2 linked regions of the Callithrix jacchus genome follow. The protein of the gene in region 2 binds, or shares a complex with, the protein of the main gene of each other region. Links are inferred from orthologs where the notes say so. Each region holds a gene or a part of one and is shown on either strand. Other genes may lie near its edges.

Region 1 (3,812 bases), on a different chromosome or scaffold from region 2:
TGCACTCCAACCTGGGCAACAGGGTGACAAAATATTTTAAATTCATTCAATACAAAGAAAGAGCTATCAAGTTATCACCCCTTCCTATTGGAGGCAACTCTAATAATGGAATGAATACTGGATCACAAGACTAGGCCTCAGGCTTTGGCACCCTGATTTATTATATCTAAATATAGGGCACCTCAAACTCAATATGACCAAAGCTGAACTCATTATTTTCATTAAAATCTGTTCCTTGTTTCCTATTCCTTTTTCTACTTCATGGCATAATCATCTACCTAGTTACCCAAGCAAAAGTAGAAAGAATCACTAGATTTTAAGGTTCTAGAAGTCAGGGCCTGAGCTGTCTTTTCAATTCTGTGTACCTCCATGCTTAATAGATAACCTGGTACATAGTATCTCTATTACCTGGTACATAATATATATATGTTTTAAGTTTTTTTTTATAATAGAGATATTACCTAGTACATAATAGAGTCTCATCAACTACTGACTATGAGGCATTTAAGAGTCACAATCTGCTCTTTCTGATATTCGTACAGGGTTCATCTTGGATCATAGTGGACAACAGCTCCGTAACAACAACACTTAGTGCTATCCTCTCATCCTTTTTTCGCACAGCAATAGAGTACTCCTACATTCCTTATTTAAAGAGGCCAGTCTTCAGTCAATGAATTCTAGTTACCCTCTCTCACTATTATAATGCTGACAAATCATGGGGATCAAATCCCCTAAAAGTTTTATGAGTTCACAGCTCACTTTGTCATAGCTCACCTTCAAATCCAACACGCTCAAGCAGGTTCAATGGGTACCAAATTAAAGGTTTGTTCCCAACTGGAAGCAGAGGTTTGGGAATGCTGGAAGTTAGGTCTGTCATCCGAGATCCCCCACCTACTGCCATCACTACTGCTTGAAATTCCATTTTTACAAGCTACAAGAAAAAACACAGAAAAAACAATTAACAGAAAAAAACCAATGTAACAAAAATCAAAGCACACACACTACTAGCCTATTTTTATTTAGGTTACTGATACCCACTATGTCAAATGTATAACTCCCAACTCTAGCAATCAGAGTAAGAAAAGCTTAGCTGCAGATAAACATTATGTCTACCAATATATATTCTCAGTTCTATCCTTGGTAAAAGTGGGAGGATATGAATGAAAAAAAAATCTGGCCCTTGCCCTTGAGTTATTTACAATTAAGTGGAGAAGACAAATTCAGTAAATCACAATATATGTCATTAGTACCACAGATGAAATATATCAAAGATGCAATGGGCATACAATAAAGTGAACACCTAGTTTTCTTTGAAAACACAGGGAAGATTTTACAGGAAGGGATGCTTGAGCTGACTCTGAAGGACTAAGAGTTTACCGAGTAGGCTTCTGATGTGTGAATTTTTATTTTTTGAAAATATTACACTGGGTAAGGTGTCTCACATCTGTAATCCCAGCACTTTAGGAGGCTGAGGTGTGTGGATCACCTGAGCTCAGGAATTCAAGCCCAGCCTGGGCAGCATGCAAGACCCCATCTCTACCAAAAATGCAACAAATTAGCCAGGCATAGTGGCTCATGCCTGTGGTTCCAGCTATTTGGGAGGCTTAAGTGGGAGGATCACTTGAGCCTTGGGAGGCTGGTATTAAAGTGAGCCAAGATTGCACCACTGCACTCCAACCTGTGTGACAGAGTAAGATCTTATCTCAAAAAAAAAAAAGAAGGAAAATATTAAAAGATGTCTGACTACTAGAATTAACAGCAGAAACACAAGCATGTTAGGCATTTGAAAAGCATAAAATGACTTAAGTCTCCTCCAATAATTCAGCCATCGGCTCACCTTCTTACTCCTCCAATTATTAAAGATATCTATATCTGAACCTAGATTTACAGAACCCAATTATTAAAAACAAACCAAACTGTTAATTCCTGCTTTTCAAACTCAAGGTAATAAACCTATTTGACTTTGAAAATAATCTCTTTACAGAAACTACCACAGACCAGAGGCACAGTAAAAGGTCATAAATACTTATTTACTTATTTTTGGAGATGGTGTTTCACTCTTGTTGCCCAGGCTGGAGTGCAATGGCGCGATCTTGGCTCACCGCAACCTCTGCCTCCCACATTCAAGTGATTCTTCTGCCTCAGCCTCCCGAGTAGCTGGGATTACAGGCATGGGCCACCAGGTCCGGATAATTTTGTATTTTTAGTAGAGATGGGGTTTCACCATGATGGCCAGGTTGGTCTCAAACTCCTAACCTCAGGTGATCTACCTGATTCGGCCTCCCAAAGTGCTAGGATTACAGGCATGAGTCAGTGTGCCCAGCCATAAAAATTATTTGTTTAGAGACAGGCTCTCACTTTGTTGCCCAGTCTGGAAGTGCAGTGGCATGATCACGGCTCACTGCAGCCTCGACCTCCTGCCCCAGCCTCTGGAGTAGCTGGGACATGTGGGTGCCGCCATGCCTAGCTAATTCCATTTTTTTTTCTTCAATAAGATGGAGTTTCACACTTATTGCCCAGGCTGGAGTGCAGTGGCACAATCTTGGCTCACTGCAATCTCTGCCTCCCAGGTTCAAACGATTCTCCTGCCTCAGCCTCTCCCGAGTAGCTGGGACTACAGACATACGCCACCACACCTGCCTAATTTTGTATATTTAGTAGAGATGGGGTTTTTCTATGTTGGTTAGGCTGGTCTCGAACTCCCAACCTCAGGTGATCCACCCACCTTGGTTTCCCAAAGTGTTAGGATTACAGGCCTGAGCCACTGTGCCCAGCCGCCTGGCTAATTCTTTTAATTTTTTATAGAGATGGGGTTTCAATATGCCGTCCAGGCTGGTCTCAAACTCCTGGCCTCAAGCCTCCTCCCTGGGCCTCCCAAAGTGCTGGGATTAGAGGCATGAACCACTGCGCCTGACCAATCTTTAATGATTTAAACTGAAAGTACTCTTCTCTGATTTACAGCAATGATGTAATTTAAAAAATAAATGTTAAAATGTAACATTCAAAAGAAAGAATCTATTTGACATCAAATTGCCAAATAATGTTGCAACTTTACTATAATTATAATCACTCCTGGACCCCCCCATACACATCAACATCTAACGTGCAGCACTTATCACCTACTATACCCAAGGCACAAAGTGAAGGCTCTTGCATAACATTCACAATGTAAAGATATAGTCATTTTGATTCTAGCAAGCATTGCCTCAGACTGGAATTTAATTTCTCTTTGGTGCTATATAACATTCACCACATCTAATGTTATTATGAAGACCACTGGACCCTTAAGAGTCAAAGGATGGGCAGGGCGTGGTGGCTTACACCTGTAATGTCAGCACTTGGGGAGGCAAGGTGGGCGGATCATCTGAGGTCAGGACTTCAAGAGCAGCTTGGTGAAATTCTGTCTCTATTAAAAATATTTTAGGGCCGGGGGCGGTGGCTCACACCTGTAATCCCAGCACTTTGGGAGGCCGAGGCGGGCGGATCACGAGGTGGGCGGATCACGAGGTCAAGAGATCAAGACCATCCTGGTCAACATGGTGAAACCCCGTCTCTACTAAAAATACAAAAAATTAGCTGGGCATGGTGGCACGTGCCTGTAATCCCAGCTACTCGGGAGGCTGAGGCAGGAGAATTGCCTGAACCCAGGAGGCGGAGGTTGTGGTGAGCCAAGATCGCGCCATTGCACTCCAGCCTGGGTAACAAGAGTGAAACTCCGTCTCAAAAAAAAAAATTTTTTTAATTAGTCAGGCATGGTGGCGAGAACCAGTAATCCTAGGTGCTCAGGAGGCTGAGGCAGAAGAATCGCCTGA
Region 2 (4,518 bases):
CCCCAGATATCCACACACCAGAGGAAATGAAAAACGCCGGAGACCCTGGGTCTTCTGAAAATGGAGAACCCTGTTGGTGGCACTGTCCACAGCCACTACCACATTGTCTTCGGGGCAGCGAGTTGGGTGGCTGGGGGATGACTCCTTGAAGATCATCGTCATCACAGAAACATTTTTTTCTAGCTTCCGTCTCAACCTATAAAGGACAGGAGGGAGAGAACTGCAAAAACTCAGGGCTCTGCTGGTCTTTAATCCTTGCTCCTGTCATTCTCTCATCCTGACCTGTGTTCCTCAAGGGCTCTGGTGATATTGATGTTTGAGATGACATCCCCATACACCAGAATGAAGTCAGAGTGCACCAAGGCCTTGGCATCAACATCACGGAGGACATCTCCCAGTGATCGATACAGTGCTGATGTAATTATTCGGACCACGTTGAGAGATGTGGGGCGGCACCACTTGGACTTCCTAAAGGGAGAAGGGTGAGGGGCATGAGTATATCAAGCATAAAGATCATAAGTGCCTTTGCTATTTTTCTCCCCCATTGAGCATTCTCAGTCCTTTCGGGCGGCATTTTTGGGTTCTTGCCAGCGTCTTCAACTTCAAAGAGAATTATGAACTATAATTAATGCTTTCAGCATCTGGTGTTCACCAGTCTTGTTTTTTTTTTTTTTTTTGAGACAGAGTCTCGCTCTGTCGCCAGGTGCCAGGTTGGAGTGCAGTGGCGCGATATTGGCTCACTGCAACCTCTGCCTCCCAGGTTCAAGCAATTCTCCTGCATCAGCCTCCCGAGTAGCTGGGATTACAGGCATGTGCCACCATGCCCAGCTAATTTTTGTATTTTTAGCAGAGACAGGGTTTCACCATGTTGGCCAGGATGGTCTCAATCTCTTGACCTCGTGATCTGCCCACCTCGTCCTCCCAAAGTGTTGGGATTACAGGCACGAGCCACTGCGCCTGGCCACCAGTCTTGTTTTATGGGTTAGGAAACATGGTTATTTCCTCTCCATACCTTGACCCCTGTCCCCAAACATCGATTTGAACTCAAAATCCTGCTGAAACGTAGAATACACTAAGTACCCTAGGAACACACTTCATGTCGGCTTTCCCCTTCTGCAGTCCATATAACATTTAGCAACTGTCTGATAGAGACCCTGCTAATGTCCTAGTCTATATTTCCTGGATTTTCATAAGTGATGAGACTCCCTATTTTTCAAGATTTCAACAAACATGTAAGTGCTCACTGCATGCCTGGCACTGACCTAGGCAGTGGAATACAAAGACAACAAGGAGCTCATTTATATCCTTGCAGGTGAGAACAAACAAGATTTAGAAACTCAGCAGAAAAACAAAGATGTTATTGTTGTAACTTCCATACTGAAGCCATTACATAAAAGCCAAGTCCACTGGGACCAAACTGTGTAAGTGACATTCAGAAAAAAAAAAACAAAGTTTGTTCTTTAAACTTTGTCACAGAAAACCCAAGACAGACAGATACAAGGTTTCAGCTGCTCACCTCCTGATAAGCATAGAAAATACCCTTAGAACTTAACAATGACATTTGAGTAGACAGTTTTCCCCTCTCACATTTCCCCTTACTTAGTTACATTCCTCCTGAAAAAACTAGAAAAAGATGGCAAAATATGCAAAGAAATGGTGCAGGGCCTTACAGTAAATGTTCTTTGATTTGAGCAGCTTTCGAGCAACAGAAGACAAATGTTTCCTTTACACCTGTGGCAGTCAGGAATTCCAGAGTGTAGTCAATTAACGCCACATTGGCCAGGGGCAAGAGGACCTGAAGGACAGAAGATGGAAAGAAGAATGAGTTCTCAAATCCCTCTGGGTACCCCACCGCAACAATTTTCACTCTTAGGTCAGTATTTCCAAACAGTGTAGTTTTGCTGTATCTTTCCAATTCAAAGGTAACAGATTCCTGCCATTGATGTTCAGGCCATGCTCTAAGCCTGAGTCTGAGATGTTGCAATTTGGGGATGGTAAGTACAGAATCTACGTGCCTTGTATCTGACACAGAGCTGTGACAGAATGGCAGTTCACCGCTGGCAAAGGGCAATACTGGAAATCAATCATATTTCCATAAATTTAAGGACTGCTAAGGCCTTCCTCCCCATAAGATTTCCTTCCTTGATCCTTTTCTAAGAGTCGGAGGTTAGCCATCTCCGATCACTTTTCAAAAAAGAACAGCCATTAGCCTTTTTCGAGGGAATCAGGGAGGATTTTCCTTAAATCTAATGTAGTTCCCTCTCTGAACTGAGGACTGCTGAACGACCCAGCTGAGTCCAGTTCCCCATTGTCTAGACAACTCGGGGGCGATGGCAAGATGGCAATCAACCACTAAACCCATTTTGTCCTTTCGACAGATGGCACTATCATTGAACCTGGAAGGAAAAAACAAAAGTACACTGCCCGAGACCTAGCCCCCTCTTTTTAAGGCATGATTACAGCCCTTTCAGAGGCAAAAGGTCGTTTCTTTTCACCTAAGCATCCGTCATCTGCAAGGTTAAAAGCGGCGCTGCCTCTTCTAGGGGCACTGAATCCCCGCGTGAAGGCTTCTCTCAAGTGCTGTTTCTACATTTAGCTCTTTCTTCCTCTCAAACCCGAAGTGAACAGCATTACGAGTGCCCCAAATCTGCCAGCCACTCACTTGGTCAGCAGCCACCAGGGTTTAGACAGACCCTCTGCCTCCTTCCTAACCACATAAACTCGGTTTTAGGATAACAGCATGGACACAAGTCCTTCAGGGGACTTGTTAGCTTTACTAGTTAGCCGAAAGGAGAACTTGCTCCAGCCCCGCCAACCTCCCTGCCCTCTGGCTGCTCGCGTGCGCGGGGCTCACCCGAGGCAGGTCCTTGGAGATGGGGAAGAAGCGGCGATCGAAGCTATCGGCCACCAGAACTGCTTGCAGGGGCGGCGTCGGTTCCTCCTCCGCCCCTCTGGCTCCCCCGCCACCGCCGCCCCCCGACCCCGCGCCGCTGCGCTTGTTGGCCCGACTAACCAACACACCAGGCGGCGCCACCACAGGGGCCGCCATCTTCTTCTCCACGGCCACCACTTCCGCAAGGAAGCTGACACCGCACGCAGTAGGGGACAAAAAGATCCTGCACCTGAAAGGCGAAGGACTAATTAACGAAGGGAAGGAGGAGACGAGGAGGGAGCAGTGCGCATGCGTCTTTTCGGGGCGCCCACTGGGATCTGAGGTTGATTCCGGAGGCGCGAGGAGTGGGGACGGGTCACAGTTGTCCCGGCCAGTGGAGGCGCAGGGTAGGGGTGGGGTCCCATAGACGTCATACTCGGTCTGCAAGTATCGTAGGCCTTCATTAGTATGGGAACAAGCCGAGATTCTTGCGGCGTGATAGGATTTGTGGTCGCCGCGAAGGGGCCAGCGCCATCCGGAATCTGTAAACGTCCAGCAGTTTCCCCGCCCCACGCATGTGAAATATGTAGCCCTCCGCATTCATTCTAGAAAATTCTGGGGACCCAGCGCCTTGGGGAGATGGAACCGAGCCAGATGTCCCCCCGCTGCAAGAAACCCACAACCTGCATAAATAGAGAAAGTGGCATATAGTAAGGGGACTAATAATTCCATTGAGAGCTGATTGTGGGCCAGGCATGATACAAGCATCATCTCATTTAATTCGTCACATATCTCTGCAAAGCATCTTATTCATTCGTTCAGCAAACATTTCTTGAACTCTCAGAGGGATGAAGGACATTTACCCAGCTAGTAAGCGGAAGAACTGGTATTGGAACCCTATGTGATTTTAGAGTTCCACAGTCTTGCTGTCAAGTTATGTGGGGATAACAGTGGCTATTTTGTGTCTTCATCTATTCATTCATCCAGCCTATCAGCCTCCTGTGTCTTAAGCAGAGCGGAGACGCGGGTGGATCTAGGCACACCAGTAAGTTGTACTGGAGTTAAGCAGGAAGATTTCCCGGCAGAGGAAAGTGCAGGCGTAAAGGCCCCAGGCTTGAGAAGGAGCACCAGCACCTTATTCTCTTTTGGGGAAAGAAGCGGTGGCTGCAGGGAATAAATCAACTCTGCAGAGGGGCGGGACCGTGGGAAAGCGGCAGAACTAGGCAGGCAGCCTGGGCGTCATTTAGGAGGCAAGGGGCTTTTCTGTAACGCATCGCGCCCTTTCTGCACGGAGCCTGTCCAGGGTCCACACCACAGGCTGCTGCAGTTCCTGCGAACTGTTCCCATCCAGCCCCGCGCTGCACGTCGGGATTTGGAGTCCGCGAGGCTGAGACTTGTTCCCACGTGGCGATTCCGACTTAACCCGTCGTGCTCCGGCGCCCGACTCGTGGGACCGACGAATCTGTCATTTTTTCCCTCGTTAAGGAGCGGAACGAAAACCATTTGATTTTGGAAATTTTAGCTTAGAAAAGTAAAGGCAGAAGGCAACTAAGTAAAAGTTTTCAGTTAGATGAATGGACGTTGTAGAAAAGGAATGTGCAAATCCAGAGGTAGAAGTAGAGGGGGGGGGAAAAGGAATAGGACAC

Evidence for each region.
Region 1: the proteins of EIF2B5 (region 2) and EIF2B3 are in contact, whole or in part, in a cryo-EM structure (PDB 7VLK), measured with the Homo sapiens proteins. The link is inferred for Callithrix jacchus from reciprocal best matches to the Homo sapiens genes EIF2B5 and EIF2B3. Residues at the interface, in NP_003898.2 of Homo sapiens: Pro190, Val202, Arg222, Arg223, Phe224, Ala225, Phe226, Pro227, Leu228, Phe231, Gln232, Ser234, Ser235, Asp236, Gly237, Val238, Glu239, Val240, Arg241, Tyr242, Asp243; in NP_065098.1 of Homo sapiens: Arg155, Phe157, Glu178, Glu179, Leu180, Val181, Ile182, Lys183, Gly184, Leu187, Gln188, Pro191, Arg192, Ile193, Arg194, Phe195, His196, Thr197, Gly198.

The regions. Positions count from the first base shown.
Region 1 is NC_133508.1:81,689,979-81,693,790, forward strand, and holds part of EIF2B3 (translation initiation factor eIF2B subunit gamma), read right to left. Parts: intron 932-3,812; 5' UTR 923-931; coding exon 775-922; intron 1-774. UniProt on the Homo sapiens protein: Acts as a component of the translation initiation factor 2B (eIF2B) complex, which catalyzes the exchange of GDP for GTP on the eukaryotic initiation factor 2 (eIF2) complex gamma subunit.
Region 2 is NC_133516.1:13,119,961-13,124,478, reverse strand, and holds the start of EIF2B5 (translation initiation factor eIF2B subunit epsilon), read right to left. Parts: upstream 3,080-4,518; 5' UTR 3,050-3,079; coding exon 2,855-3,049; intron 1,796-2,854; coding exon 1,671-1,795; intron 469-1,670; coding exon 283-468; intron 197-282; coding exon 19-196; intron 1-18. UniProt on the Homo sapiens protein: Acts as a component of the translation initiation factor 2B (eIF2B) complex, which catalyzes the exchange of GDP for GTP on eukaryotic initiation factor 2 (eIF2) gamma subunit.